2 linked regions of the Stegostoma tigrinum genome follow. The protein of the gene in region 2 purifies or fractionates together with the protein of the main gene of each other region. This does not show direct contact. Links are inferred from orthologs where the notes say so. Each region holds a gene or a part of one and is shown on either strand. Other genes may lie near its edges. The genes, in order: NAD-dependent protein deacetylase sirtuin-3-like and hspd1.

Region 1 (16,383 bases), on a different chromosome or scaffold from region 2:
ATATCTACAACTCAGTACCAAATACGTTCAATGATTAAAGTTTCTACAGCCCTTTATGGAAATTCACAAAATTAGGGAAGAATTCACCCTCATCCTAGATTGGAGATGCTTCATTCTGAACCTGTGTCCCTTATCTCTACAATCCCCAATGCAATGAGAATGTATTTAGTATTTACCCTATCAATATTTCTAACCTCCAATGAGAAAAGGTCCCAGATTGCTCAATTGCTTCATTAGACAATGTTGGATGGGGGAGCATTTACAAGGTCAAAGTGGTCGACTGTCAGTTTGAAGAGGGGTAGTGAGGGAAAATGTGAAAGGGGGTAGGGACAGAACCCAAGGAGTAAAACTAGGGCAGGAATAAGCTTTCAAGGAGGTTTGACCTAGGATGGTACAGGTAGGGAGGAATCCAACAGACATTGCCGATCAGATAGTCTCAATCTTAGTGACAGAAAAAATACCACAACCTCCTTGGACTTGTTGCTGGAGGTGAAGGTAATGAAAACAAGAGGACAATTTTTATAGAGTGAGGCTTGAGGAGACTTTGTTGAAGGAATAAGATCAAAGACATGATAACACAAAATATTGTCTCAAAGCCAAACTCAATCATCCACTAAAAGCTCAAGGACTCCAGGAGTTTTGGCTCTGAGTGAATACTAATGTGCTGGGATGATGGATTCAAACCTAACCACAACAGCTTGTGGAACTTGAATTCAACTAATAAAGCTGGAATTGAAAATTAGTCTCTGTAATGATGAATATTCAACTATCATTGACAGTTGTAAAACACTAACTGTTCACTAAAGTTGTTTCGAAAGGAAATCTTCCATCCTTACCTGGTCTGGAACACGTGACTCCACATCCACAGTAATATAACTAAACATTGTCCTCTGAATTGGCCAAGCAAGCCATACAATTCAAGAGCAATTAGGGATGTGTAACAAATGTTAGCCTATCAATGATTCCCACAGCCAACGAATGTATAAAGGAAAGAAAAAACTGAATTGTACCAGCCATGTAAGTATTGTGGTTACAAGGCTAGGAATTCAACGGTGACGAATACACCTTCAGTCCCCCACAGCCCGGTCACCCTCAACAAGGCACAGAATATGAGTGTGAACGAATGCTCTCCTATCATCTGGATACATAATGATCCAACAGCAATCATGATGGTTAACACCATGTTGTATAAAGCAGCCAACTTGAACTGGATCCATCTATGCTGTTCATTCATTCACTCCTATCGCCACTATGAACAGTGGCAACTGTTTGTATCAGCCACAAGATGCACTGCAGAAACTCACCATCATTCCTTTACTAGCACTTATCAAACCTATGACACTACCACCCAGAAGGACAGGTCAGCAGGAATATAGGAACACCATCGGCTACAAGCTCCCCACAAAGTCACACAGCATCCTGAATTAGAAGGATTTCATTTTCCTTCACTGTCCTGGGTCAAAGTTGTGGCACTCCCACCCTAACAGTATCTATATGGATCCCATTCTCCAAAGACTGCAGCTGTTCAACAAAGCAGATCAGCACCACCTTCACAAAGACCAGCAGGGATAAAGAGGTGAGAAAATTTGAATCCAGCTGATGTAGATCACACTTGGAATGTATTTGGGAGGTGTTCAGAGCTAATCGGAAAGCAAGTGATTCTTTGACTGTAGAAGACACTGTACACAGACTGACAGCCAAGCACTGAATTATTCCTAAAGGAGAACCAAAAGAACTGCAGGTGCTGTAAATCAGGAACAAAAACAAAGTTGCTGGAAAAGCTCAGCAGGTCTGGCAGCATCTGTGGAGGAGAAAACAGAGTTAACATTTCAGGCTTGGTGACCCTTCCTCAGGCATTCTGAGGAAGGGTCACCAGACACGAAACGTTAACTATCTTCTCCTCCACAGATGCTGCCAGACCTACTGAGCTTTTCCAGCAACTTTGTTTTTATTCCTCGAGGAGGTCAGGATCAGTCTCTGGGGTGGATGGAGCAAAGGTGAATTGGGGTCAGTGTACATGATGAGGATCTGGATCAGCATCCGGGGGGATTGTGGTCAGTGTTCAGAGGAGACTGAAGTCAGTGTTCTGGGTTATCTAATAGTTTTGCTTCAGTAATGTTTCATTGTCTGAAGTCACTTACCCTCAGCTGTTCCCAGGAGAAGTTCTCCATGCACACAGTACACGTCGCTGTAGCAAATGTTCCATGAGCTTCCACCAATTTCTCCATTGGGATTCCAGCCACTGAAATGCAGCGGGAGAGAGAAGGCAGTCACTGAGGGATGAAAAGATGCACCGCTGATGTCCTCACCCTTCCTGGGTTCCAAAGTTTCAGACTCTTCTCAGGATCCATCAACAAACCACCTGCACTGTTAGAATAGGTGACTACTAAACTGTGGGGGGCATCTCAATCAACTTCCTGTTCTCAATGTCTATACAGAGAGATTCTGTGGGCAGTGCTCAGCATAGGATTTTAGACAGTGGTCACTTGATTCAAAAGGAAGACTGAAAAGGGATCTGGATATATTCAAAGGATTTTAAAACTATCAAGACATTGGGAAAAGTGCGGGATAGACTGAATTGCTCTTTCAGTCATCACGAGCTCAATGTTTCAACAGCCCTCATTCTGTGCTGTAGCATTCTATAATTTACTGATTATAATTTATTATGGGGAATATTATAATTCACTGACTGTAAGTTAATTCGATAAATTCTGTAACTTAATGGCTATAATTCAATATGATGAATTCTATAATACACCGTTTATAATTTAATATGGTGAATATCATAATTAACTTACTACAATTCAGTATGGTGAATTTTATAATTCACTTACTATAATTCAATATGGTGACTTCTGTAATTCAGTGACTATAATTCATTGTCTTTAATTCACTACACTTTTACAACTCACCAGAAGCCCAGCACACTAATAATAGTCACAATTCACATGGCAAAGAAAGTGGTCATTCAGCCCATTCAATAAATGCCAGCTCCCTCCAAAACAATGCAGTCAATCTAATTCTCCCATAGCACTGGACATTTCCTTCCCTCAACTGCCTGTTCAATTCCTTTCTGAAATAATTTATTTTTAAAGTTGCTTTGTATACAATAGCTCCAGCGAAGTCACAAGTCTGTGTTCACTTGTGTTCCAGACATCTATTGCAGAAATGTGGGCAACATTTGGCCACATGTGGGCATCATTGTAACGCGGGTACCCATATCTGAAAATTAGAACAGAGCAAGCGGAAGATGCCATTCAGTCTGTAAACAAAGGAATTCAGCCTCTGAACCTCTGATACAAGAAAACAGCGGGAGCAGATCATTTAGCTCCTCGAGTCTGCTAAACATTAACAGGGAAGGCCGTTCTGTTCCTTCAGTTTGTTTCGTAGTAACACAAGGAAGCCATTCATTCCCTTAAACAGTTACATTGAATCAGAGAAGGCCACGCAGCCCTCCAGGTTGCTCTGGAATTCTATCAGACGAAGGCTGATTTATTCTTCTTCTGTACTTACCCCCGCATCATTCCTTGCCAGCCCATTGCTCAAAATTAGTCTTGAAAGTTCTAACTGAATCAAGTATCCACTGGCATTTGAATGGCAGTTCCACATTTCAACACCCTTTGAAAACCATCCTTGCTGATTTCATTTCTAACTCCATGAGCTCTATTTTATTATTTTTCCAACACTTAAACCTACTTACTGCGTTCCAGGCCGTCAATGTTCTGAGTGTACATTCGTAGCAGTAACTTTTTATGGTGTAAAAGTCTGACAAAGTAGTGTGTGTAGTTAGGTTTGCAGTTTCCAGGGTACAGCTGCTTGGCCAGAGCAAAGAAAGGCTTTGGATTGTGGGAAAAGTAGTTGATTTCAAAGATGGCTTCTGGGTATGGGATGTCATATTCTTGTAGGTTGTCATAGAGTCCACTGCCTGGTGACCTGAATATGTAACAATGGAAATGAAAACTAAAACAGTTAGTATCAATTTCTAGGATGATTCCAACTTGCCACTTCATCCATTTTGTGAGAACATCACAGCAACAGATCAGAACACAATGATCTTGAACAAACATTTCCACAACTCAGGAGAAAGCCAATCATTTGTTGCTGTTCTTTCTGACCTGGAGATGAAAGGGGAGAAAGCAAGATGACAACAATTGATTCACATTGAGCGCTGAATTTTTACATAAACCAAATCCCTGCAGAGGTACCCGAACAAGTCAGTCATGTGTTGATGGCCCTGAGTTCATTTCGGAAATATGTGTTTCAGTCTCCCTGGGTTAGAAGCTCGGTGCTTTCTCACAAGGGTGAACTTATCAGGAGAACCTGTAGACACCAACACAGAAAAAAACACTCGATCAACACTGGGCCAAAGTCCATTTAAACTACAGAGATTGCAGGACAGGCAGTTACCCAGAAAGAGTTACCAGAGAGAGTGGAGTTGGCAAGATAAGGATGTGACAAGATATGCTGGTGCTGATTGCCACATACAGAAGGCTGGAGCCGCTATACGCGTGCAGCTTCGAGGAAACATTGATCAATTCCCTCACCTACTGAGCTTGGGTAGGAATATGTCATTGAACAAGAGGATTTCTCCAGAAACAGTGCGAGGAATAACCTCATTCTAGCAAGCACAGATTATCTGAAGCAAAAACAAAATTGCTGGAGAAACTCAGCAGATCGGGCAACACCTATGAACAGAAAGCAGAGTTAACATTTCAAGTCCGGTGATCTTTGTTCAGAACTGACAGCAGCTAGGAAAAGGTGGTATTTATTCTGACCACAGTGGGGAGGGGAGGAGGAGGAGTGAGTGGGTAGGTGGGCCCTAGTTATGCCTGTCTCTGTGTGTCCGTGGAACATTCTTTGTTCTAGTCCTGCTTGGGTCATTCCCCAGAACTCTTTCTCTGGTAAATTGATGACATCATTGGTGCTGCTTCCTTCTCGCATTTAGAATTGGGAAAATTTATCAATTTTACTTCCAATTTCCACAATGCTCTCACCTTCATCTGATCCATCTCTGACTGCCCCCTTCCCTGCCTCGACTGTCTGTTTACATTTCTGGGGGTAGGCTGGCACCAATATCCACTAAAAGTCAAGCAGCTCCCACCATTACCTGGAGGTTACATCCTCACTCCCTATCTCCTGTAAGGACTCCATCACATTCTCCCAGTTTCTCCATCCCCATTGCATCTGTTCTGATGATGCCACCTTCTGCAGAAATTCCCACCTTTTCCTCTACATAGGATTCGCCAACACTGTGATTAACAGGGCCCTTAGTTGTGTCTGATCCAGTTCCTGCACTTCGGCCCTCAGCCCTTCCCTTCCCTTCCCTTCCACAATAGTGATAAGATCACCCTGGTCCTCAGTTACCACCCACCTACACGTGTATACCAAGTATCATAAGGTGCCATTTCCACTACCTCCAGCCACATGCTACCACCAGACATCTATTCTCCTTCCTCCCCTTGTCAGTATTTCACAGGAACTATTCCCTCCAGGACACCATGGTCAACTCCTTCCCCACTCCCAAGTGCACCCCACACTCCCACTGCAATTTCCCATACAATCGCAGAAGGTGTAACAGTCATCCATTTACCTCTTCCCTCCTCACTATCCAAGGCCCTAGTCATACCTTCCAGGTGACGCCATGATTTACCTGCACTTCACTCAATCTATTTTGCTGTATTCACTGTGCACAATGTGATCCCGTCTACACGGGGGAGACAAAACGCAGGCTGGGTGACCTCTTCGCAGATCACCCACTTTATGTCCATAAAAATGGCCCCAAGCTTCCAGTTGCCTGCCACTTCATGTGCTCACCGGGCAATATTTCTGACTTCTGCAGTGTTCCAGCAAGGATCAGCGCAAGCAGGAAGAACAGCGCCTCGTCTTACATTCAGGGACTATGTAGCCTTCGATATCATATTCAACAAATTTACAGCCTGAACTCTACCTTCCATGTCCTTTAGCCAAACCCACACCATATACTCGTTAATGCTGCTTTCGCCTACTCATGGACACTGTTATCAGCTTTTTCTCCTTTCCTGGCTTACTACGAACTATGTGCTTGTCTGCCTAACTTTATTTGTGTCTCTCTGGACTCTCTGTGCTCCTCACCCACCCTAATCACCCCATTATCAGCATAAATACCACCTTTTCCGAGCTACTATCACTCCTGAAGAAGAGTCACTGGGCTCAAAATGTTAACTCTTGCTTTGTCTCCACTGATGCTGCCAGATCCGCCGAGCTTCTCAAAGAATTTCTGATTTTGTTTCGGATCTTTACCATTGGCAGCTCTTTGGTTTTACTTTACAAATTACTTGATTCTGACTATAATGGCTCTTTCGAAGCTTCGTACAATTCAAGTATTTGATTTAGAAATACCTCTGAAACTGTCTAATTTTGTTCCATATTATGCTCCCATCACATCAAAAATACTGAGCAATTAATAAGCCATTTAATTTGATAAATAGATATTACTGGATTAACTAGCACTAATAATTAACAATAACATAAGGACATCTGTGAAAAATTAACTTGGTTCAGAAAGTCGGGAAACAGAATCAGATTGGGTGGATTAGGACTGGTAAGAGTTAAAAAGTGCTGACAGTTTATAGGCCCTTTAACTGTAGATATACACTGAATGAAGAATTAAACAAGAAATTATTGGCATTTGTAATAGTTGTGGAGTATGTTTATCTTCATATTGATTGGACTAATTAAATTGGAAAAGATTGTCTGCAAGATGTTTTCATGGCCGTTTCCGCAGCAATATGTTGTGGAACCAACAAGGGATAAATCTAAATTAAATTTAGCATTGTGCAATGAAGCAAGGTTAACTGCAAATGTTATTGTAAAAGGCCAAGTGGGAAATATTGATCATAACACAACTGAATATCACTTTGACATACTTCAAATACAAATAAAAAATATTTAACCGAAATCTTGTTTTCATTAGGAGATACTGCTGCAGCCTCAGTCCTGAGCCTTGTTTCCTGCAACATGTAAAGACTCTTTTAAACAGATTCTATAGACTGTTTATCATACATGTAGCCCTACTATTAACCAACTGGGTAACACTGAGCTTCCAATTAACACTGAAAACTCAACTATCAGACTGGAAACCATGGATTTATATTCCTGCTTTTGGAACACAGGAATAGAAAGGACCAATGAGCCCTTGAGTCAACTCTGACATTCAATTCATGCCTGATCAGTATCTTAACTCCATCTACTTGCACTGGTTCTATAATCCTCAATACCTAACAAAAATCTATCAGTTGCAGCCTTGAAATTTTCAATTGATCCCCAGCCTTAAAAACTGTTGGGAGTTAAGATTCTATGTAAAGTATCATTCCTTCTACATGAGAGGGGAAACAAACGTGCTTCTCTGGATAACAGCACAGTGCAGTCCATTACTCATTGTTATAGTCCTCAGATTAATCACATCGATAGTCTGTTGCACAGTAACATTACTGGTTGATTGTCATTGCTGTTGGTGGTCAGTTATGAGATTCCTAATGCCAGGGTTGGGATACCTGAAATCAGGGATTCCGCTGGGTGTACTGATTCCTGCACCAGACATCACCACAATCCTATGACACTCCCTGTTCCGAATGAGCCTTGCGATGTCCTTAAGTGACTGCACTCTCTCACCACTTCCTTTCCCACTGAAGATGTACCGGACAAAAGATGAGGTTGATGAACGATTCACACAGCGGATTCTGTAACAATATATAAAACACCCACAGAATGGACTAGAATCCATCCTGAATAATTTTAGGTTTGAGTTCTACATGCATCCTTGCTCTCCGCGAGTATCTAATGCAATCCCAGACAGCACAGGACCACGTTCCAAAACTGATCAAACTCTAGAAGTCTGAAACAGATTAGAATAGTCAATTCAATGTCAAATCAACTTCACCCTGCTTCAACATTTCCATATTGTTTGAATGCTGAGCCTCACAGTGACATACAGGTGAAATGAAACTTCTGAAGGAGCAGAACAGTTTAAATACCAGCTTCCTGATTTCCGTACTTAATGCTTGTGAGATCACTGTTAACTTGTTAACATCATCATTACTTTAAACACAATATTTGATCTATCAATTTCAGGGAGTGTAAATACAACTCATTTATGTATGCTTTGTACCTTGAGCCCTTGCTGTGTGCCTGTCTGCAAATATTGAGTCCAGTCAGGATTCCAGTTTGGAAATTTCTGATGCAGCTATGATTAAACTGTAACCATCGAGTAGCAAAGAAACCAGGCTGGGTCCAGGTGAGACTCTGATACAATGCAAAACTCATGTTTCCAACTGAAATAAGGACAGAAAACAATTCAATTATCATGTATCACATGTGGCTCAATGATTCTTTTTGTTTTTGCCTCTGATTTAGAGGTCATGGAGTCAAGCACCACTCCAAAGCCTAAAGTACATGGTGATACTCACTATGCAGCATTGAGGCAGCACTACACTGCAGTCGTGAGGGAGTGCTGGACTGCAGAGGTGCAGTAGAGGGAACACTGCACTGTAGAAGCACCAAAGGAGGAGCACTGTATTATGGGAGAAGCAGTGCTGAGGGACCACTGCACTAAAGGAGGATCAGGATTGAGGGAGCAGTGTACTGTGGGTGGAGCAGAAGTGAGAGTGCTCTGTACTGTGAGAAGAGAAGAATTGAGGCATGCTGTATTATAGGAGAGGCAGGTCTGAGGGAACACTATGAAAGAACCCTGTACTGTGAAAGTAGTGGTACTGAAGGAGCACTGTATTATAGGAGAAGCAGTACTGAAGGAGCGTGACACTGTAGGGGGAGCAGTACTCGGGGAGCACGACTGACGGAGCACTACACTGTGGGGAGAGCAGTACTGAGGGAGCACTGTGCTATGGGAGGAGCAGGATCAAGGGAACGCTGTATTGTGTGAGAAGTATTACTGCCAGCCTGTTGTATTGTAAGACAGGCAGTACTGAGGGAGCAGAGATAATGGCAACTGCAGATGCTGGAGAATCCGAGATAACAAAGTATGGAGCTGGATGAACGCAGCAGGCCAAGCAGCATCTTAGGAGCACAAAAGCTGACGTTTCAGGCCTAGACCCTTCATCAGAAAAGGGGGATGGGCAGAGGATTCTGAAATAAATAGGGATAGAGGGGGAGGCGGACCAAAGATGGATAGAGGAGAAAATAGGTGGAGAGAAGAGTATGGGTGGGGAGGGGATAGGTCAGTCTGGGGAGGACAGACAGATCAAGGGGGCAGGATGAGGTTGGTAGATAGGAAATGGAGGTGCGGCTTGAGGTAGGAGAGGTGGGATAGGTAAGAGGAAGAACAGGTTAGGGAGGCGGGGACGAGCTGGGCTGGTTTTGGGATGCAGTGGGGGGAGGGGAGATTTTGAAGCTGGTGAAATCCACATTGATACTGTTGGGCTGCAGGGTTCCCAAGCGGAATATGAGTTGCTGTTCCTGCAATCTTCGGGTGACATCATTGTGGCACTGCAGGAGGCCCATGATGGACATGTCATCTAAGGAATGGGAGGGCGAGTTAAAATGGTTTGCGACGGGGAGGTGCAGTTGTTTATTGTGAACCGAGCGGAGGTGTTCTGCAAAGCGGACCCCAAGCCTCCGCTTGGTTTCCCCAATGTAGAGGATGCCACAACGGGTACAGTGGATACAGTATACCACACTGGCAGATGTGCAGGTGAACCTCTGCTTAATATGGAAAGTCTTCTTGAGGCCTGGGATGGGGGTGAGGGAGGAGGTGTGGGGGCAAGTGTAGCATTTCCTGCAGTTGCAGGGGAAAGTGCCGGGTGTGGTGGGTTTGGAGGGGAGTGTGGAGTGAACAAGGGAGTTGCGGAGAGAGTGGTCTCTCAGGAAGGCAGACAAGGGTGGCGTTGGAAAAATGTCTTTAGTGGTGGGGTCGGATTGTAGATGGCGGAAGTGTCGGAGGATGACGCGTTGTATCCGGAGGTTGGAGCGCTGCGCTACAGGGGGACACAGTTCTGAGGAAGCGCTGCACTGCAAATGGAGCAGTACTGTAGAAGAAGCAGCGGAGCATTGTACTTTTGAGGGAGCCAAACCGAGGGATCAGGATCAATACATATAGGTGCACAGAAGCTTCTGTGGGATATATGCTGGGCGTCCAGTAATCAAACATATATTCTCGACATGCAGAGCGCAGTGCAGGTATATAGCAATCAGTATAAATGTATAGCAGATGTACAGTGTTGTGTGTGAATCTACGCTGAATGGGCAATGCTCAGTATACTTATATATCGATGTGGGGTGCTTGGTGTGGGTACATTCATTATGGGTATATATCAAGCATAGGCCTGTGTCCAATGCACAACATTTCCTGAACCCATACAATACGATGTGGGTATATACTGAGTATACAGAGCTTGGTGTGAATAGATCCCAGGTGAACAGAAAGATGTGGGTATGTATACAAACATATAAAATGGCACAAGTGGGCCATTTACACTTTCACCTGCTTTACCAATCAACATGCTTATGGCTGGTTTTTTTGTGTTTTGAATTCCACAATAACAACTACCTCTGAAAACCTGTGATTGCCTTAAAGAGTCTATCTACCTCCACCTTAAAAATAGATCAATAACCCTGCTTCCACTGCCTTCTCAGACACACAGTTCTAAAATCATTCAATCCTCTGAGAGAAAACATATCCTATTTCTACCTTAAAAGGGCACTGACTAATTTGAAAACAACATTCCCTGTTTCTCAAACTAACCCTCAAGAAGAAGCATCCATTCTGTGTCCAAGTTAATAAAATGTGAGGCTGGATGAACACAGCAGGCCCAGCAGCATCCCAGGAGCACGCATTGTGTGTCCATCTTGGTTAGACCATTCATGATCTTCCACACTTCCATCAAGGCACCCCTCACTTTTCTAAACTCAAGTGCAAACATGGCCAGTCTGTCCAACATATCCTCATTAGATTTTCTGACTGATAATCTAACCAGTCACTCATCTTTTACTGTATTTGTTCGTGTTATGTGGGCTTCCAAGGCTAAGCCAGAATTTATTGCCCATCCCCAATTGCACAGAGGGCAGCTGAGGGTTAGCCATTTTGTCATGGTGAGATTTGAATCCATGTCTCGAGAGCGTTAATTAGCCTGTGGTTCTGGATTACTAACACAATGACATTACTGCTATGCAAGTGCCTCCTAAAAATGGAATGTCACCTTTTGTTATAAAGAATTAGATTAAAGAAATAAAGATATTGTAATATAACAATTTATGGTCTTTATGAAATAGTAATGTGTGTCTTTTACCCAGGGAAGGAAATACTTATCCCATTGGGAGTGCAATGTAGGGTTCACTTGGTTAATTTTTGGGATGACAAGATGTCCTCTGAGGAGACATTTGAGTATACCAGGCCTATATTTCCTGAAGTTTGAAAAGACGCCTGGTGATCTAATTCAAAATCAATAAAATTCTTAAAGGGACTTGTGGTCACAGTCTATGAATAGGAGCCTAATTATTATGGGCCCAGGAGAGATGGTTTCTCACATATGGTTGTGACTCATTTGGAATTATTTCTCCCAGAAATCTTTCGATGCTTCATCATCGCGTATACATTTCAAGACAGAAATTGATAGATTTTGAATACCAAGGGAAGGGATTTACAGGATGTTGCTGGGATTGGAGGCTGAACAGGCTGATGTTATTTTCCCTGGAGCGTTGGAGGCTGAGGGGTGACCTTATTGAGGTGTATAAAATCATGAGGGACATGTACAGGATGAATATCCAAGGTCTTTTTCCCAGGGTAGGGTTTAAGGTGAGACGGGAAAGATTTAAAAGGGCCTGAGGGGCAATATTTAATGTAGGTGGCGACGTGTGCATGGAACGGCTGCCAGAGGAGGCGGTGGAGGTGGTACAATTATAACATTTAAGAGGCATTTGGATGGCTATGTGAATAGGAAGAGGTCAGAGGGATATGGACCACCTGCTGGCAAATGGGCCTAAATCAGTTTAGGATATCTTGTCGGTATGAACAACTTGGACAAAGGGTTTGTGTCCTTGCTGTACAACGTTATGACTTAAGGGATATAGGAGAAGGGTAGAAAAGTGAAATTGAGATAGGAATCAGTCACCTACTGAATGGTAAATCAGGTTCTTGAGGGCAAATGAGAGCACTCTCTGCTCCAATTCTCAGTGTAGAGGGTATTGCTGATTGTTACCTCTTGCTATGTGCTGCCTCTGGGTGGTAGCTGGACTCTGATGTGAAGAATATTCCCTGTCTGAACAAGAGCTGCTCTCACCTGATGCCTCTCTGATGAAATGTCTTCAAATACCGTAACTTTCCAACAAGCAGCCCCTTCAGAAACAAACTGGGCCAGTCCATATGACACCGCGAGTAGTAGAATTAGCAAAGGAGGATCCAGCAGTTAAAGGTTAATCTTCCTGACACTACTGCAAAACAGGGAGAGAGAAAAAAAACAAGAATAAAACTTTATTTCCATTTTCTTTGAGCATCTTTGCATTTGGTTACAAAACATCAGAGAAGGGAATATGCGCCCCAAGTGACTGAATGGGGCAGCTTGAAGTGGCAAGTATGAAACCTCGGGGTATTGTCTTTTGATTTGTGTCTATCTGATGGGTGCCAAATAAAGCAAATTATATTCAAGATATTTTTGAAATTGTCGCTATTTTGACAGTTTGTAAATACAGTAAAAAGGCAAGTCTGTCTTTATGATACACAGACGGGTGCCTAGAAAAACTCAGCAAGCCATGCAGGATCTGGAGAAAAGGAACAGTCAACATTTCGAGTATTACTCTTCTTCAGGACTGTCTTTAGGCTTCTGGTAAGTTTTCACTTCGGGTACAATAAAGTATCACTTTCCAAAGGGGTTGATGATTAATTTACTTTCACAGGAATATGGAGAAAGACTGTTGGGCCATTTGTACAGATCAGCCAGGAGGCAGATAGGCTGAAGTCTGTAATGAAAATCTAGGATTGAGTATAAAACGTATTGAGTGTCGGACGGTCTGAGACACAACAGGGGAATGAATTCAATCTGACCCAGAGACCAGTTCCCAAATCCTGGGTTGACAAGGTGTCGAGCTGGATGAACACAGTAGGCCAAGCAGCGTCAGAGGAGCGGGAAGGCTGATGTTTCAGGCCTAGACCCTCCTTCAGAAATGAAGAAGAGTCTCGGCTCGAAACGTCAGCCTTCCTGTTCTTCTGATGCTGCCATGTTGACTGTGTTCATCCAGCTCGACACCTTGTTATCTCAGATTCTCCAGTATCTGCAGTTCCTACTATCCCCAAATCCTGGGTGATGGATTGGAAGGAATGGAGCCTGGTCAAGGGGAGGTAGACCGAGATTACAGAGTTGGAAGAACACAAAATCAGGAACTGTGTTCCTCCAGCATCTCCAGTTCATGCTATCTCTTACACAGAGACAGTAACCGTGTTACCTCTGTCTCTTACACGGAGTTGTTTGTTCAAGAACTGATTCCGTTAAAAAAATGTCAAACTACTGGGAGAGAAGGGACAGGACAATGTGCTCAGTACTGGGGGGAGATGGGGGACAGTGTACCCAATAATGGGGTGGGGGATGGGGGACAGTGTACCCGGTAATGGGGGTCAGTGTACCCGGTAATGGGGGGGGGAGAGATGGGGGTCACTGTACCCGGTAATGGGGGGGGGAGAGATGGGGGTCAGTGTACCTGGTAACGGGGGCGGGGGGAAATGGGGGACAGTGTACCTGGTAATGGGGGGGAATGGGGAGAGATGGGGGATAGTGTACCCGGTAACGGGGGTGGGGGGATGGGGGACATTGTACCCGGTGGCGGGTGATGAAGGTGGTTGAGTTCTGCGGTGCCCCATATTGCGGTATTTACAGTACCGGAAGTTGTAGTGATCGGTTCCGGTTGGAGCCGTGCGGCCTTGACGCAGCCAGAAGCCGAGCCTGCGGTTTACAGAGGCAGCCGGCACCATGAGGGATGTGAGCGGGTTCCTCCAACAGCAGCAGATCGGGGCCGGAGAGCTCGGCCCTGACTGGCAGCAAATGGAGGAGCTTTACAACAAAAAGTGAGTGAGAGCCTCTCTGCCCCGTTACAGCGAAACCCCGATTCCTGGGCTGGCCCCCGCTGAGTCACTGCCCAGGCCCTTCTCTCTGAACCCTCTGTGTCTGTCTGTCTCAGGCCTTGCCGGTCCCGACATTGTACTCTTTTTGGGGGTTTCGGGTAAAGGAGGCGGGATAAAGTGGGCTGGGACAAGCGGGAGATAATGGGAACTGCAGATGCTGGAGAATCCGAGATAACAAAGTGTGGAGCTGGATGAACACAGCAGGCCAAGCAGCATCTCAGGAGGACAAAAGCTGAGGTTTCGGGCCTGGACCCTTTTAACCTCATTGCGAAGCCTCTTCCAAGGATGCCTAACCTGAAGAAGTTACCCTCCGGACAAACCTCGGGGATCTCTCTCCCACTGCACCTCCTTCCACCTATCTTCTTTCCTCTCCATCTTCGGTCCGCCTCCCCCTCTCTCCCTATTTATTCCAGAACCCTCTCCCCATCCTCGTCTCTGATGAAGGGTCTAGGCCCGAAACGTCAGCTTTTGTGCCCCTGAGATGCTGCTGGGCCTGCTGTGTTCATCCAGCTCCACGCTTTGTTATCTGGGACAAGCGGGAAGTGAGGATCTCTGTGTTAGGATGAGGATACTGGAACTAGCAGTTTTCAACAATGAGCCATCTGTATCTGTTGTTGATTTCCTCTGGATGGTGCTAATGGCTCCTGATGCCTCCACGCTGTAACCCTGACTTGTTTTAAATGCAGACTGTGGCACCAGTTGACTGTCCGACTCCAGAACTTTGTTCAAAATCCCTGCTTCGCCACAGGTGATGGTCTGATCAAGGTGGGTGATTTAACCTCAACATTCCCTTCAACATACTAATTTTAGTTGGCTTCTTTCATCATATAATAAAACTTTTATTTTGCAGCTGTATGAGAATTTTATTAGTGAATTTGAACACAGGTAAGAAATACTTCTTTAAAAATTACACCTAAAAGTATATTATACTGAAAATTAACAGCATGGAAGATGCTATTCAGGCCATCTTTTCTATTAAATTTGAGCTAGTGCAATTCCATATTAATCTCTGTCTGCTGGTACCTCTTCCATAATTCCCCTGGTTCAAGAACTTATCACCTTCTTTTCCCAGTGACATAAGAGACTTGGATGTGACTTACAGAATGAAACCACTTGTTCATAGACTGCATGTCTGCTCTGGAATAGATCACAGATCTCTGTAGAGCAAGCTGCTTAATTCTTCATCTTTCTCCCTGAAGCCCTGAAAGTTTATTTCTCTTAAATGCTCATCTGAATTTGTTTTCTTGCAATTGTTAATTGTCCCCATTTCTGCTACTTTAAGAGACAGTGAATTCCAGACCCTTTTTTTAACCACTTTGTGTGTTCTTTCATGGCAAAATCATACCCCTGTTTCACCTGTCTCCGAGAGTCATAAATCTGTGCTGCATTGTTGATATAACATAACGGGAAGAGATTTCCATTGTGCAATCTTAGGTAAAATAGACAATGTAATAGACCTCTACTAAATCTCCACTAAATTTACTTTGCTCTAAGGAGTAAAAAACACAGAACAATTTCTTATTTCTCGGCAAATTTTGGTAAATAGCTTCTGCAGCCTTTCAGTAGCTCCTTAGTTCCTAAAGCCTGGTGACCAGAATTAGATGCAATACTACAGCTGTGACCGAAAAAGTTCTATAAAGATTCAGCATAACTTCTTGCTTTTGAACTTAATACCTCTGATTATGGGAATTAGGATTGCTTATGCCTTCCAAATTAATTTTCCCAAAAGCCCTGCTACCTTAAAAGATCAATATGCACGAATTCCTAGCTCCTCCTCTATTTAAACATTTAAACAATGTGCTAAAAAGCCTACATTGCCACTACCTATCTGTTATTCCAAAATTATTCCTTGTTTTTTCTGCATTAATTTTCACATGCCACTTGTCTGCTGGTTCTGATAGTTTGGCAAAGTGCTGTCACAGGTGATATGTTCATCCTCACTTTGCCACAACTCAGTTTGGCATCAATTGGAAAATTTTCAAATTTTAGTCCATGTTCCACAATTAAAGTCATACATATGTATCAAAAAAAAGTAGTCCCATGCATGACTCCAGGGGAAAACCACTTTCCTCTGCCAGTCTGAAAAACGAATGACTTGCTGTTTTCTGTCCTGGAGCCCAATTTTTTGTCACTGATCCTTATAGAAAGAGTTGACATCTTCGAAAGAGGACTTCATGGGTTTCTGCAGTGCATTTTATATCTGGTATGCACTGCTGTTACTGTGCCAGTTTTGGAGGGAGTGAATATTTGAGGTGTTGAATTATTATCTGGTAAGTGGGGAG
Region 2 (16,586 bases):
GTGGTGCAGTGGTGGGAGGGGACGAACTGGGCTGGTTTAGGGATGCAGTAGGGGAAGGGGAGATTTTGAAACTGGTGAAGTCCACATTGATACCATTGGGCTGCAGGGTTCCCAGGCGGAATATGAGTTGCTGTTCCTGCAACCTTCGGGTGGCATCATTGTGGCACTGTAGGAGGCCCATGATGGACATGTCATCTACAGAACGGGAGGGGGAGTGGAAATGGGAGGTGCAGTTGTTTGTTGCGAACTGAACGGAGGTGTTCTGCAAAGCGGTCCCCAAGCCTCCGCTTGGTTTCCCCAATGTAGAGGGAGCCGCACCGGGTACAGTGGATGCAGTATACCACATTGGCAGATGTGCAGGTGAACGCCTGCTTAATGTGGAATGTCATCTTGGGGCCTGGGATAGGGGTGAGAGAGGTGGTGTGGGGACAAGTGTAGCATTTCCTGCGGTTGCAGGGGAAGGTGCCGGGTGTGGTGGGGTTGGAGGGCAGTGTGGAGCGAACAAGGGAGTCACGGAGAGAGTGGTCTCTCCGGAAAGCAGACAGGGGTGGGGATGGAAAAATGTCTTGGGTGGTGGGGTCGGATTGTAAATGGCTGAAGTGTCGGAGGATGATGCGTTGTATCTGGAGGTTGGTAGGGTGGTGTGAGAGAACGAGGGAGATCCTCTTAGGGCGGTTGTGGCGGGGGCAGGGTGTGAGGGATGTGTTGCGGGAAATACGGGAGACGCGGTCAAGGGCGTTCTCGATCACTGTGGGGGGAAAGTTGCGGTCCTTAAAGAACTTGGACATCTGGGATGTCCGGGAGTGGAATGTCTTATCGTGGGAGCAGATGCGGCGGAGGAATTGGGAATAGGGGATGGAATTTTTGCAGGAGGTGTATTCTAGGTAGCTGTGGGAGTCGGTGGGCTTGAAATGGACATCAGTTACAAGCTGGTTGCCTGAGATGGAGACTGAGGTGTCCAGGAAGGTGAGGGATGTGCTGGAGATGGCCCAGGTGAACTGAAGGTTGGGGTGGAAGGTGTTGGTGAAGTGGATGAACTGTTCGAGCTTCTCTGGGGAGCAAGAGGCGGCGCCGATACAGTCATCAATGTACCGGAGGAAGAGGTGGGGTTTGGGGCCTGTGTAGGTGCGGAAGAGGGACTGTTCCACGTAACCTACAAAGAGGCAGGCATAGCTGGGGCCCATGCGGGTGCCCATGGCCACCCCCTTAGTCTGTAGGAAGTGGGAGGAGTCAAAAGAGAAGTTGTTGAGTGTGAGGACGAGTTCAGCTAGGCGGATGAGAGTGTCGGTGGACCGTTGTCTCAAGCTGGAATCAAACCTGGGTCCCTGGTGCTATGATGCTAACAGAATGTTTGCAGCATATTTCTTCTGATTGGTGCAGCTCACTCAGAAGAGGAAGAATCTAGCCTTAGTTTCAACACCTAATACCAAATCATTGTAAATCAGCAATTAAAATCAAATGTGCTAAGTTTAATTGCAGTGGAGGATCACTAAATAAAGAGATATCACATGAAAGTGGCACAGTATTCTGTGCGATTCTTAGGTCAAATTGAGCAGCTACTCAATAATAGCCTTCAAGCCATGGGAGATGGCACAAAGAGCCACTAAGTTGAATCCCAGTGTCAAAAGGTTCAATTTACAGGAAAAATTGTGAAGAACATGTATGGTCTCTGAACTATAAGATTATTGAGATGGCAGTTGGGTGTTTGAGGTGGGATGAAGGAGGAACAAAAGGAATGCAGACATTTTATCCTGAACAAATGGATTTCTAAAGCTATATTGATCTTTTAGAGTATGGCTACATGCTCATTCAACTTACAGGAACACTAATGTCACCTAGAAGCCCCGATGGTGAAAGTTAAAATGCCTATGGTATTGTATTAACAACAGCAATTCCTCTCAATTGCTCGACTTATGCTATCTTCTTTCCTTTCTCTTTTCTTCCATATTTTGAGTTGTATGGGGTTCCAATAATGCCAGTTAATCACCTTCAACCACATATACATTTAGTGCGTGGTTTTCAAATAGCTGTATAATTTTCCTGTCACTAAACTTTAATTAATCCAGGTTGGGGACTAGCAACAATACATCTTGCCTCTGCCACACTGACTTAACTAAATGCCAAAAAAATGAAACAAAGAATTGTGTCACTAGATTTTAGGATATGTTGTTGAATTAAACACAGCAATTCAGAGAGAAATGGTCATTTTAAATACAAATTTTACGCTGCAACATTAGTAGATAATATTTATACACAAGTAATGGCAATCTACCATTTGGCAAATGCATACTTTGCTAAAGTCTTTGTTATTGTAACATTGGTATTTAATACAAAAATCAAGAACTAACCTCGTCTTATCTCCACTGGATTAGCTCCTTTACTGATCTTTTCAAATCCTTCTTTAGCAATGGCTCTTGCAAGAACTGTTGCTGTGGTTGTTCCATCGCCTGCCTCTTCATTTGTGTTGTTGGCAACATCTTGTACTAGCTTAGCACCAATATTTTGGTACTTATCTTTCAAATCTATTGCTTTAGCTACTGTTACTCCATCTTTTGTCACTTTAGGACTCCCCCAACTCTGTTCTAGAATAACTGTTCGACCCTAGATAAAAACAAACATTGAGACATTGCTGTTTGTTATACACATACTTGAATTTATCCTTATTTTGTTGTCCTAATACCATAGAGGCAGCAACATCTGCAGTTGCACTGTAAGGTTTCAGACACCTTCAGCCTTCCCAGGCCTTGCAAAAATGAGCAGGTCTTAACCAGAAGCAACTTTGAAGTGCATGCTTCCCAATGAGCAAATCACTAACTGGTTGAAAGCAATTGTGGAGAAAAGTACGCACTCACTCCGGAAACAAAAGTCTGATCTCTATACAATCAATAAAGCCCCTTACGAACACACTAGTTTCTAAGTAATGGAATGCTTTCAGATAAACATGGTGCTGAAACCCATCATAGCTCGGGATACCCTGGCCATTTTAAAAAACCCAATGAGATTGGACTATAAACTCACCTTAAAAAAAAGGTTAGCTGCTCAAGGCAATCTCATTGGTCATGGTCAGATGAAAAAGCGATTAACATGAGAGGTGACAAGTGATTTGTCTTCAAGGTAAATTAAATATTTTTAAGGCATTTCACAGGCATGTTGCCAAACAAAGATGAGCCACAGAAGGAGATATTATGTCAGATGTCCAAAGGCTCAATTGAAAATATAGGTTTTAATAATAATCCTAAAAAGGTGGAAAGTGAAGTAGAGAAGCAGAGGGGTTGAGGAAGAGAATTCATGATTTTGGGGACTGAGGTAACAAGGCACAACCACTGGTCAAGCAATTGTAACCAAGAGATACAGCAGTATTTTACAAAAGGTGGTGATGTCGAAGGGTGAGAGAGTGATTTCAGAGGACAATACTCAAAGGAAAATATTACAATATTAGCTAATATCAGAGGCCTGGAGAGAAAAGTCGGAGATCAGTTTTTAGAAATAGGATTCAGATTATAAAGAAGATAGGTCTCATTTACAAAATGTCATAAACAAACAGGGCAACTGGAAAAACCACTCAGGGCTAGGACAGAGGAAACATGGAAGGACGTTTATCAGATGTCAAGGTAAAATCACCATAATCTTAACTAGATCACAGGGCTGCTCTCATGACAGACAGGGATGACTGAAGAGTTTAACCCAAGGGTCACAATGCCTCAGGCAAGGGGAGAAATTGATGAGTCCTTCGTGCTAACCTTGGCCATTGAAGAATTGAACACATACTGTTGGCACTCTGCAATGCAAATTAACATCCAGCCAACTGAGGGAAGGGACATGACAAAAGCAGCTGATGAAGTTCTGCCAATCTTATTGGTAAAGAAGTCCACAAACTTCTCACACTCGGATGAGAGATGGAGACAGGGGAAAGACAGATGCAAGTGGTGTGCAAGAGAAAAGGCACAGGATGTTATCTTTGTATTCTACGATGAAAATGATAAGTGTTCACTATAGCAGTTAACAGTTTTTATCCAGCCAGATCTTGTGGTGGCAGGTCTTATCCAGGGAAAAGCCTGGATGAGAGCTAGAGATTAATTGGAGACTGGAATGCACACAAATTTACACTTCCAGAATCAATTCAACATGCAATTTAAAAACTGAACAGAATCAATAACTTTAATAAAAACAAACATTCTACTTTAGACAGTAACATATGAAAGAGTTTGAGTGTGCAATTGAATAAATCAATAAATCAGAAAGGAGAAATATTATGGCAAATGGAATGGTCAAAGGCTGGTTAGGATCCTAAATCACCTTTTCACTGACTTGGCTGGCATCAAATGTTTACAAGAATTATTGCATGCTACTACCAATGAAGGACTATTTTAGTGTACAGTAAATCCATACGGACCTTCTAAAGGCTAGTATAATGAAGGTGCACCAAAACTAATGAGCATAGTAGATACCATCTTAATGGGTATACAACTAGACGACAGAAAATCTCAATTAATCCGACTGCCCTGGCCGACCCATTGCCTTCCCCTGCTCCTGCCCCAAATTTATCATGACTATTCTCACCGCACCCCCCCCCCCAACCCCGGTCCAGGAACCCCCCCCTACTTACGTCTGGGATGCCACCAATGCTCTCCACCTCCTCCAAAATTTCAGATTCCCTGGCCTCTAATACTTCATCTTCACCATGGACATCTAATCCCTGTACACTCGCATTCCCCATGCAGAGGGCCTAAAGGCCCTCCGCTTCGTCCTCTCTCACAGGCCCAACCAGTCTCCCTCCACCGACACCCTTATCTGCCTAACTGAACTTGTCCTTACCCTTAACAACTTTGACTCCTTCCACTTCCTACAGACGAAAGGAGTGGCCATGGGTAACTGCAGGGGCCCAAGCTGTGCCTGCCTCTTTGTAGGATACATGGATCAATCCCTCTCCTGCAGCTACACTGGCACCAAGCCCCACCTCTTCCACAATTACATCGATGACTGTATCAGTGCCAACCCATGCTCCTACAAGGAGTGCAAACAGTTCATCAACTTTACTAACACCTTTCACCACAACCTTAAGTTCACCTGGACCATCTCTGATACATCTCTCTCCTGCCTGGACCCCTCTGTCTCCATCTCTGGTAATCACCTTGAAACCAATATCCATTTCAAGCCCACTGACTCCCACAACTACCTAGATTATAACTCCTCTCACCTACCTTCCTGCAAGAATGCAATCCCCTATACCCAATTCCTCCGCCTCCACCTCTCCAAAATGAGGCGTTCCACTCCCAAACATCCCAGATGTCCTCGTTTTTCAAGCACTGCTATCACCACACCCCCCCAACCAAAAGTGGTTGAAAATGCCCTCGACCACATTTCTAGTCTTTCCCTCACCTCAGTCCTTACCCCCCCTCCGATAGAGACAAAGATAGTATTCCCCTTATCCTCACATATCACCCCACTAACCTCCAGATTCAACAGATCATTCTCTGCCACCTGCAATCTGACCCCACTATGAAGGATAGACTTCCTTCCCCACTCTTATCTGTCTTCCGGAGTGACCACTCCCTCTGCGACTCCATCGTCCACTCCACACTCACCACTAGCCCCACCACCTCTCCCTGCAACCATAGGAAGCGCTACCACATGCCCCTACACCCCCATCCCAGGGCCCAAAAATCCCTCCACATTAAACAGATGTTCACCTGCAGATCCACTAATGTGGTCTATTGGATTCACGGTTCTCGATGTGGCCTCTCGTTACATAGGCGAGACCAAGCAGAGGCTTGGAGACTTGTGTGGAGCACCTACGATCGGTTCGCAACAAATAACACCTTCCAGTCGCGAACCACTTCAATACCCCCTCCCACTCTCTGGAAGACACGCCTATCCTGGGCCTCCTCCTGCATCACAACGATGCCACCCAGAAACTGGAAAAACAACAACCTTATATTCCACCTTGAAACCCTCCAACTCAATGGTCTCAACGTGGACTTTCAGCTTCAAAATCTCCCCACTCCCGACCACGTCCTAAGAACAGCACCCCCCTCATCCCTGCCTCCTTGACCTGTCCATCTTCTCTCCCACCTAAGTGATCCACTATCCACTTTCTATCATCATCCCCTCTTTCTGTTTATTTCAGAGCCCCCTTCCCCTCTCCAATTTCTGAAGAAGGGTCCAGACTCAAAACATCAGCTTTCTGCTCCTCTGAAGCTGCCTGGACTGCTGAGTTCATCCAGCTCCACACCTTGTTATCTCAATTAAGTTAATCCTTTGTAAGAAATTGATTAGACTTTGTATTATGGTTAATAATGAAACAAGTGAGAGCAACGTTGACAGTGAATTTTTCAAGCAGGTAGAGTGACGAATGCTAATAGTTTATTAGAACAGTACTGTGACATGCAATCTCAGACTCCTATTGCAGTTGCCTTTTAGAAGATGTGGAATGAGGAATTTGTATTTTTAAGAGTGAAATTCTAGTTTCTAGCTGAAAGAAAACCAAAGAATGACTTTGCAGAAACTAGTGGTTTCTTCAGTGTTACAAGTTAACATAGCAAGCATTACTTGATGTGCTGGGACCACAATATAAAAATCAATTCATCACAATTCATTTTTCTCAGGGGCTTGAACAGAGGTAGTGACTTTTTTCAAGAATGTATAAACATTTAAGGGTAATTAAAACTGACACTAATTTAGTTTTTGTTTAAGAGCTCAAATCAAGCTTCTAATAAGAAGATCCATGCTATGGGACATACACACCATTTTTCTGGATTTTATTCTAAAGGAAAACTAACTGCAAAGAAAAAAACAGACAAAAACAAAGTTGCTGGAAAAGCTCAGCAGGTCTAGCAGCATCTGTGGAGGAGAAAACAGAGTTAACGTTCCGAGTCCAAGGACCCTTCCTCAGAACTGATGATGGCTGAGAAAACATCAGTTTATATGCAGAAAATAGGGAGGTGGGTGGATAGGAGTAAATGATAGGATAGAGCCCGAAGAGAGAGAAAGACAGTTGACAGACAAAGGAGTTGCTAGCAATCAGGCTGGGAGGGCGAATAGTTGTTAATGGGGACTGTTAGGTGACTAACAAGGGGAGCTGAGTCAAGGTAGGAAGAGATGAGTTCCGTGGGGCATGAGCAGGCTGAAACAATGGGTCTATCTGAACAGTCCCATTTGTGGATTTCTGACAGCAGGTAGAAATCAGCTGTGCGGGTTTGGGGGACTATTAGCTTTGGAGCTGATTTGGGGGGGGGGGGGGGAGAAGAGAAGAGAAGAGAGATCACCAGATGAAATGAGATCCGTAACCACAGTGGATACAACGGCCTGATGCGCCATGGTAGGGTCATGGTCCAGGGGAAGTTAAGTGGTGGTATTGGAGAGCTGGTGCTCAGTTTCTGCAAGGCAGAGGTCAGTACACCAGACAACAGCGCCACCCTTATCGGCAGGCTTGATGACAAAGTTAGGGTTAGATCTGCAAAAAAATGAGAGTTCCTTTTTCTCAAAGAATGAGGAAAGTTTGTCCATTGCTCAATTAATTTAATATCTCTTGATAAATTTTTAAATTTGGCATACATCGTTCTTGGTGGCTTGGTTCAGACATGAATTTTTCATGCACGTCACCAAACAGCAGACTCAAAATTCACTGCATCAAGTCCCAGTTGCAGCCTCAGTTATTGTTATCAAAATATAAATCACTATCCACCTGTCTTGTGATGGGCAGCTCATGCTAATGTGGTATACTGAAGATTATGACAATGTTGCAGCTTCAAATTGTGGCTATGAATATTTTTGAAGGTTCTCAAATAACTGTGGCCATTCTACTATTAAGTATTAATAATCCTAACTGTTTTTGTCAAAAAAGATAAAGTACATGTCCAAAGCCAATCCTGCATCATCAACAGTTTTACTATTTCTATTGATGTCGGCATTATCTAACGCAATGAGTACTTATTCTAGTTTTGAGGAGCATAAATATTTTGGAATGTTTCCATAATATCAAACTGCATATTGAGTTCTAAGCCCACAGTAGACGCTGACCCACCTTTGGTCCCATGGTTACAGCCACTGCATCGGCGAGAAGATCAACTCCTTTCAGCATCATAGCCCGAGCTTCGGATCCGAATTTTACATCTTTGGCGTAAGCTCGTGCATGATGAGGTGCAAGTAGACGAGTTACAGGCCTTACCTGGCGTAGAACGGTTGGCAAACGGAGCATTATCTGCAGTGGAGAAGAGAAATAATACCGATCAACCTTTTAACTACACGTTAAATTTTTTAAAAGCGTATGGTGTCAGTAACATGGGCCTCCCCACACGTCGCTAGGGGACACACGTCACAAGGTCAAATTAAAGTACTTCAACAATCCGCAAAATAACGAGGAATGCAAAACAAAAGTAACTAATATGCCTCAAATTAGACTAAGAGAGACTTCAGGTCTGTAAAGATAACATGTAACTGCTAGTCTGTCTAACATCCAGCATTGGAACTCTGATTCCTCGTCTTCATTCATTGTCTCAATCCATTGGCATAGAAGGAAACGCCTGTAGCTTGCAAAATTTTTCAAAAATATACGAACCAAACCGATTTCTGCATAATACCACTTACTAAAATGTTTATTTAGAAAAACAAGTAGTAAACAAGACAGTAATAGCCCTAGCTTCAACCAAATTCCACAGCTACGCAAACTACACAACCGCCAGGACTGAGCCCAAGTCTCACTCGGAGAACACGTGGGTTTGCAGCGGGGAGAAGTCTCCGCCCGCCCCTTACTCTGGATACTCTAACACCACCAACACTTCCAGGTACACAGCTGCCAAAACATTTCGACAAGCAAATAGCCACCTACTCACTACCACCAATGGATATCCCAGCACCAGACTCATAGGATTTAGTACCAACTTGTAACTAAAAGCAGGCACGCGAAGCAGTTCATATACAGCTTCAGGGGTTCGAGTTCCAGAAACTTCCAGACGCTTAACGTAGGTTGGGTCAAAGTGCACAGTTCTATTGCGCAATAATTTTATTTCTTGATTTCTTCTCTAAAATTGCAACAAAATTTACTTTGGGTGTTTATGAGTGTAAAATGCTGCCAAAGTTTTGCTCAGGTGTGGATTTCAGTTTAGAAAATGCCTCTGAAATGTAACATTCCTCTGACGTTCGAGGTCATGTCTTCGGGTTCGAAGGTATTTCCTCACGTGGAGAGACTGCCATAATTGCTGCTGCAGGGAGGTGTCTTATTTCTAGTGCTTTCTGGAAGTGGTAGCAGGCATGGTAAGCTTACGTTTTTGTTTGTGATATACTGAATGAGAAGAATAAACCGATTTACGTATTGTTCTTGATAAGTATTTTTGTGACTTCCTGATGTTGAAATGGTAAGTTGCGTTGTTTTAAATCCAGTTGAGCATGTGCTGGATACAAAATAATTTATCGTGTTTGATAGCTCAGTTCAAACAGGGAATATGATCCTTTTGAAATATTCCTACTCTAGCAGGGAAATGATTCGCCAGGCCACCGACTGGTTACAATCCTGATGAATGAAAGGACAAATGTGCTTGTGACCTGTCTCGCTACTACAGATCAGTTTGTAACAAAAGTAATGGATTGAAGAACTACGTTTGTTACTATGTAACCACACCGACATTTGGATAAAAATGATGATCTGTTACGTGCAACTTATTTAACGATTTTAGATTTGATGTTGGGGACAGTTTCAAGGTCAAATGAGCTTGATTTTTAAATGTCCTCAACATTTATGTTGAGAAATAATTTTTTTCCATATTAATATCTTCAGCTGCTGTTTTACGCCCTTCTTAAGGTAATATGTTACATTTTCAGCATTTGGATCATGGTTTTTTATTTCTAATGATGTTACATTTAGGAGTTTATTTTATATATATTCATAATAGCTGTGAAAACTAAGCTAACAGTCTAAGGACAGGTTATCTAGTTCTTTATAACAAAAAAATTCAGCTATCACTTTTTCTCTCAAGATTCATTTTGGGTTGACCTTTTTATTTGTAGATCTCAGAAGTGGTAAAGCTTTCAATATGTGGTCTGTAACCTGTTGGTTAATAGGTAACTGAAACGTTTTATTTTAACAGGCAGGACAGGCATTTAAAAAGTTTCTGCCCCTTTTTGACCGTGTTTTGGTGGAAAGGGTGGCAGCAGAGAAGGTAACAAAAGGTGGCATCATGCTTCCAGAAAAATCCCAGGGTAAAGTACTTCAAGCAACAGTTGTAGCAGTTGGACCTGGCAGCCGAGTAAAGGTAGTTTTCTGAAAACAAAATCCTAATCAACTAAATGCTTGTGATTATTACATTAACAAAGTCTGATCCAATAGATTATATTTTTATACTGTGTTCCAAAGTGGCCTGCTGTTTTGTTTTATTAAGTTTAGGTATAATTTCTCTTAGGTATAATTAGAAAGCTTATCTGTGAATTTGCAGCAAGTTACAAGTACTACTACTTGTAACTTGCTGCAAATTCACAGATAAGCAAAAAGTGCAAATTTCTGTACGGTGCATTATAAACTTTGGCTAGAGCACTGTTCACAAACATTAATTTGTGGATCATTTGCATTTTCATTTCAGAATGGTGATATTCACCCCGTTAATGTAAAAGTTGGTGAAACAGTTCTACTCCCAGAATATGGAGGGACTAAAGTTGTCTTGGATGATAAGGTTGGTACTATTGTCTTAGTAGTTCTTTTGACTGTATTTAGAAATTGATTTCTTTCTCCTTGATGATTTTTATTTTCTTCCTCAGGATTACTACTTGTTTAGAGATGGAGATATTCTTGGAAAATACACAGCATGAATGTTGGATGTTTCTTTCAGTTTTAAGAAACTGGCCATTCCATGAAGTTGCTGTCTTTTTGTCTTAGTCTGTAAATACCACTTTTTCCAGCTTTGGTACAATAAATTCAATGTCAAACACACAAGTTTCTGTTTTACTGTGATTGATCTCATTGCTAGTTGAATTTTCCAATAATAAACATAAAATTATGAATCTAAACTAGTCAACTTGTTTCAGAAGTGATTCATTTCACTTTGAAAACTCCAACTTTTGAAAGGGTGGCAGTAAAATCACTTGGTAAATGTGCCATGGACATCTGGAAAATGCATCTAAGACTGTCAATATGACTACAGTGATCTGCAGAAGTACTAGTTCATTTTGCATGAAACACACAAGTATTTCAATACATTCTAAGTGAGGAATTTTCTTTATCGTTGCTCATTTTTAAAATCCTCATTCTGTACTGTCCGTCCAAGACTACCCTAATTATAAGATGCTCATTCTTTACATCCTTCAGCTTTGCCTCATTGAAAACACCAACAATCACAATCTCACTGCTTTTTCTCCTCCTCTTCCTATAATTCTGTTTAAAGGCAGTCCTTTGTGTTGTCTTGTGACCTGTTTCCATCATTTAATATATATGACAACATCTGTTTGCTGCTTTTTCTAATTGCTCTCAGCTCTCTCCTACCCTCAGTTCCTTCCAGGTATAACCTGGAAGAAACTCCAATTAAAATGCTATTTTCAGCTGCTCATTGGCCTTCTGTTAGCCGCGCTACTTCATCTTTTGATCTGTGCACTTGCTCTGTCGCCTCCCCTGTTGATTGATTATTTTCACCTCCATAATGTCCTTTCTCTCTGGTTATTTAGCCCCAGCTTTACTTCAGTTCAAGGGGTATTTAGTACATGTGGTGCACAACTGGTTTGGCCATTCACAGTCAGGCTAGATGTAATCATATGAAACATTATTGGATCTTGCTCACTTCTACTAAAATTGCTCCATACACCAGGATCATCCTGGAAAAACAAGGATATATAGTTGTTTATTCATCAACAGCTTTCTTAAAGCTATACCTGAAACAATATCTGGAGCCCTTTTTAATGTAATGAAACATTAAAGGTGTTGGGACAGTGCATTATTTTAAGAAAAACAGGACACAGAGCTACATGAAATTAAATGAACAATTGATCAAAGTGGGAGGCTTTGAGGAGTGTCTCAAAAAAGGCAAGTGAGGTAGAGAAGTGGAGAGGTGTACTTAATTTACTTGACCTTTTTGGACATGTTCATGATGTGACTGGGGCAGATGGGACGAGAAGCCAGCTATGTTGGACCAGAGACGGTGCTACCGTAACAGCCCTTTGTGAATTCAAATTTCACCACTGCCATGGTGGGATTTTAACCCATGTTTCCCAGAAGATTAACTTGGAGAGTCTGGATTACTTGTCCAATGACATCACTGCTGTCTCTTTGCTACGTATGTCTAAATTTGCATTAGGTCCTGTCACTCTGTAACTCTTCTTTCATGAATGGATGATAAATAATGAGTCTGATAATAAGGCAACGATTGAAGTGTGCTAATAGAACTGGGTGTTATCAGGCTACATGTAAAAAAAATTGCATTGTCTTTAACTGATGTTGAAAAAAGCAGCATGTAGACGAGAAATGGGAAGGCATTGTCAAAGATCGATCCTAGAAAAAATGAGAGATAATGTTGTTGGAGCAGGAAGAGAAGCCATTCCAAATGATAAGCAAAACCAGAAATTGCGGGAAAAAACAAGGCAAGCCTGGCAGCATCAGTGAAGAGAAAGCAGTTAACATTTCAGTTCCAGGGATCCAGTGATCCTCCTTCAGAACTTGTTTCATTTCTGAAGAAGGGTCACTGGACTCAAGAGTTAACTCTGCTTTCTCTACAAAGATGCCAGACCAGGTGAATTTTTCCAGCAATTTCAGGTCTTGCTTCTGACTCCAGCATTCACAGTTCTTTCGGTTTTCCATTTTGAATGATTCTCTGGTTATGTTTAGATAAGAATAGAATCATTAGAGAACAGTTTCAATCTGCTGAGTAACAGTGCAGAGATGTTGGAGGATGGTAATGTCAGAGGTTGCAGAAGGAGTGGAAACCTAATTGGAGCAATCAAAAAATTTGGAATGAATTTGGTCTTCGAGGACTTCAGAAAGGAAAGCAGGTTGGAGATGAATTGATAGTTGGCAAGTTTTTTTTTGAAGTCAGAGTAATTTAAAGCAGACTTAAAGGAGGAAAGAACAACACCTGAAGAAAGAGAGAACTGATATTCATAATATTAGCAGATGTGGGTGCCAGCAGGGGTAATCAGTTTGACCAGAAGGTAGATCTCATGGACAAAATGAATTCAGTTGAAGGCTTTAGGAGATAATGGCAGAAAATAGAAAAATGAGAGTGCAGTGCTCGGGCACAGGGAAACATTTAAGGAATTTAGTCAGGTGGGCTAGTGGAAATGGAAGTGGAAAACATTGCAGAACAAGCTGGTTAGATTGTGTCATCTGTGACAAGAGTATTATAATTCTCATTCAAAGCGAAGATAGGAGTGAACAGGAAGAAGGGCTTAGAAATACAGTCTGCAGTACAGAAAAGAAGCTGAAATCTGGCTTCTCAGTATGATCCAGGAATAGTGACAAAGTTTAACTGGCAACAGCAGGACCACTAGTGATTCAATCAGATTTGGCAGTGATGGCTAAAGCAGTTATCTGCTGTTTTAGTTGTGTTCCTTGGAGTTGGAGATGTGGTTCATTTTGAGGAACCAGCCACAGTGGAAGGGCATATGGTTTAACAGTGACTAGGACACCAAGGTGGAGATGAGGGTGCAGTTGAGTAAATCAGTAGTTGCAGAAATGTTAATAGAGAGCTAAAGGCTTGATGTTTCAGATTTTGAAATTGCAGCTGTAAGTAAAATTGCAGGATAGATTTTTCTAGAGACAGATATGGAAGGAAGTTGGTTTTGAGGTATGGAGGGAATGTGAATGGTGAGTGGTGCAAGCAAGAGATCAGAGATAGCCTATCTGCAATTGATATGATAGGACTAGTAGGACAGCATGAAAATGACAAGGTCAAGGGCGTGACCATCAAACTGGGTTAGAGTGTCACATGGAAGGACTGACAATAAAAGGGCAGTAAATATCAGAGGAGAGAGAACATAAGTTTAGATGGACAAGTGTGAGTGCGCATGGACTTTGTCACTATCTGGCTATCTGTCCCTGCCTTTAGCAACCAAATCAAGGTTACCTATGTTCATTGTCTGAATCAGCATCTTTCTTTCCTGTGTCCTCATGTTCTCTCTGAGTTTACCTTCTCTACGGTATGGACTGCTGACCACACTATATCCTTCTCCTGCGTCTATCATAGCTGATATTATATTGCTGTCACTGCATACTGTTCATCTCTTCCAAATCTTCTGTTATCTGAAGTCATGAGAGTTGGTTCATGAATGCAATTTGTGTTTTTGAATCTAGTCAATCAAGTTTATGCCTTAACTACAGTTACTTGTAATTTCAGTCCAAACTGCCGTTAACATACTCCTTCGTTGTTGCTAATATTCTTAAACTGATACTTCATAGAATCATAGAATCCTTACAGTGTGGCAACAGGTCATTTGGCCCAATGACCTCACACTGCCCCTCCGAAGAGCATCCCACGCAGATCAATTCTCCTACATTTCCCATGTCTAACCCACCTAACCTAAACATCCTTGGGCACTATGGGCAATTGAGCATAGCCAATTCACTTACATCTTTGGACTGTGGGAGGAAACCCACACAGACACAAGGAGAATGTGCAAACTCCACACAGAGAGTCACCTGAGGCTGGAGACAAACTCGGCTCCCTGGCGCTGTGAGACAGCAGTGCTAACACTGAGCCACCACGCTGCCCCACCGATATAAATAGATTAATGTGAATATAAAGCTTTTGGCCAGAGATGAAGTGGGGGTGAAAGGGAAGTGTCACAGTTTAGTGGTTCTATAATTGGGATTACTCAACTGCATATTTGATTTATTCAAGTGGTATTGACCTTACAATGTAAGGTAGTAACTGTATTGTGCTAAGAGTGATATGTTATAGTACTGATAATGAAAATGTGACTTTTCTCCCCCTTGGCTTGGAGATCATATGTCACTGTGAAGTTAAATCCTTGAACTGAGTTTATCATGAATTTATGCAGATCAACTGAAATTTCAGATCTGAAGAACACGTGAGTAATTTGCACAGACAAATAAGTAGTTAGATCTTTATACAATTTCTACTTCTGTTGTTTTATAGCACTAATTGAATAATTTGACCATGAGGAAAGATTATGACAATGGCTAGAATAGTTCCTGCATATCCTCTTATGCCACTCAGTAGTACGATCACTTGAACTTCTAATACTTGGATTTAGGGGTACAGGGCACAATTCCAAAGGTAATAAATGGTCTGATGGTGGCATTTACAATTTTTGGCAAGAAAAGTTGCTTTAAACCTTGAATCTTAACTAAACACTAATTTAAGATGAGCAAATTCTGCCCAATATTCTAAATAATTGTTTGATACAAATTTTACATATAACTTCCTGGCTTTTGGCCTCTATTTATATCTGCTTTGTTAATCTGGTCTGCCACCTTCAAAGACCAGTGCACAAACATGCCACAGTATCCACCTTGCAGCAACTTTTCAAAGCTTTCTCAAAGTTTATTACAAGCTTTTAGCTATTTACTTCATTTTACAAATTTTGTGTAATCTGCTACTTGGCTCTTGTGGGACTTTGACGTCACAGACTGATAAGAGTTGCTGCAATTTTCCAGAATTTGAAAGAACATGATTTCCCATTGACTTTTGCTACATTGATTGAAAAGATAAACTGGCTATGTCTTGCTGAAGCATGACTTGAAAGAGAGAACCTAGTGCTGTGAGTGGCAAGGTGGCTCAGCAGTCAGTACTGCTGCCTCACAGCACCAGGTTTAATTCCAGCTTTGGCTGACAGTGTGTGTGGAGTTTGCACGTTCTCCCTGCTTCTGCTCAGTGATCCGATTTCCTCCCACAGTCCAAAAAACGTGCATGTTAGATGGATTGGCCATGGTAAATACAGGAATAGGATGGAAGGCTGGGTCTGGGGGGGGAATCTGTCTGTGGATTGGTGCACACTTAATGGGGCAAACTACCTCTTTCACACTGTGCCAGTCATCAGAGTAAACATGGAGCTGAATCTAGGGGTGGAACTCTGGAGCCGATATCATGACTCAAAAAGTGACGTAGGCTTGGCTGCTCAGGGACAAGCAGAATCTTAATGAGATGAGGACTTACTTTTTGTAGTTGTAGTCTGTTAGGAGTGAAAGACCTGAGTTTGGTGACTATTGGATTAGGTTGTGTAATCAGTTTCTGGACTGTTGCTATAGTTGATAAGGTTGATTTTAGTTGGTAAGGCTCAAAATGGCAGGAGAACTCAGGCCCATGGAATGCTCCTCTTGCAGTATGTGAGAAATCAGGGTCACATCCGGTGTCCATGGTGACCACATGTTCAGGAAATGTGTTCATCTGCAGCTCCTGATTTGCATGGAGAGGCTAGAGCTGAGGATGGATTCACAATGGAGCATCCATGAGGCTGAGAATGTCATGGATAGCACATTTAGCAAGTTGGTCACATCATCTGTAAGGGCTAGACAGACAGAGAAGAGTTGGGTGACCACCAGGAAGACAAGTAAGCATGGGCAGACACTGTAGGAGCCCCTGCTCAAACAGGTAAACTGTTTTGGATACTGTTAGAGGTTGGGGAGGGGGAGGGATGGCCTTTCAGATGAAAGC

The links.
Region 1: the proteins of hspd1 (region 2) and NAD-dependent protein deacetylase sirtuin-3-like purify together in Homo sapiens (affinity purification with mass spectrometry; 3 studies listed by BioGRID and IntAct, counting the BioPlex papers as one, with this or other methods). This does not show direct contact. The link is inferred for Stegostoma tigrinum from reciprocal best matches to the Homo sapiens genes HSPD1 and SIRT3.

What each region holds. Positions count from the first base shown.
Region 1 is NC_081370.1:34,914,406-34,930,788, reverse strand, and holds the start of NAD-dependent protein deacetylase sirtuin-3-like, read right to left. Parts: upstream 8,470-16,383; 5' UTR 8,455-8,469; coding exon 8,445-8,454; intron 8,310-8,444; coding exon 8,147-8,309; intron 7,719-8,146; coding exon 7,533-7,718; exon of another isoform or gene 4,223-7,532; coding exon of another isoform or gene 4,206-4,222; intron 3,934-4,205; coding exon 3,701-3,933; intron 2,243-3,700; coding exon 2,142-2,242; intron 1-2,141. Other genes in the region: psmd13 (26S proteasome non-ATPase regulatory subunit 13), read left to right, coding at 13,950-14,044, 14,788-14,866, 14,952-14,986.
Region 2 is NC_081360.1:31,736,577-31,753,162, reverse strand, and holds the start of hspd1 (60 kDa heat shock protein, mitochondrial), read right to left. Parts: upstream 8,711-16,586; 5' UTR 8,587-8,710; intron 8,201-8,586; 5' UTR 8,198-8,200; coding exon 8,024-8,197; intron 2,602-8,023; coding exon 2,349-2,601; intron 1-2,348. Other genes in the region: hspe1 (10 kDa heat shock protein, mitochondrial), read left to right, coding at 9,250-9,252, 10,083-10,247, 10,572-10,661, 10,747-10,797. UniProt on the Homo sapiens protein: Chaperonin implicated in mitochondrial protein import and macromolecular assembly. Together with Hsp10, facilitates the correct folding of imported proteins.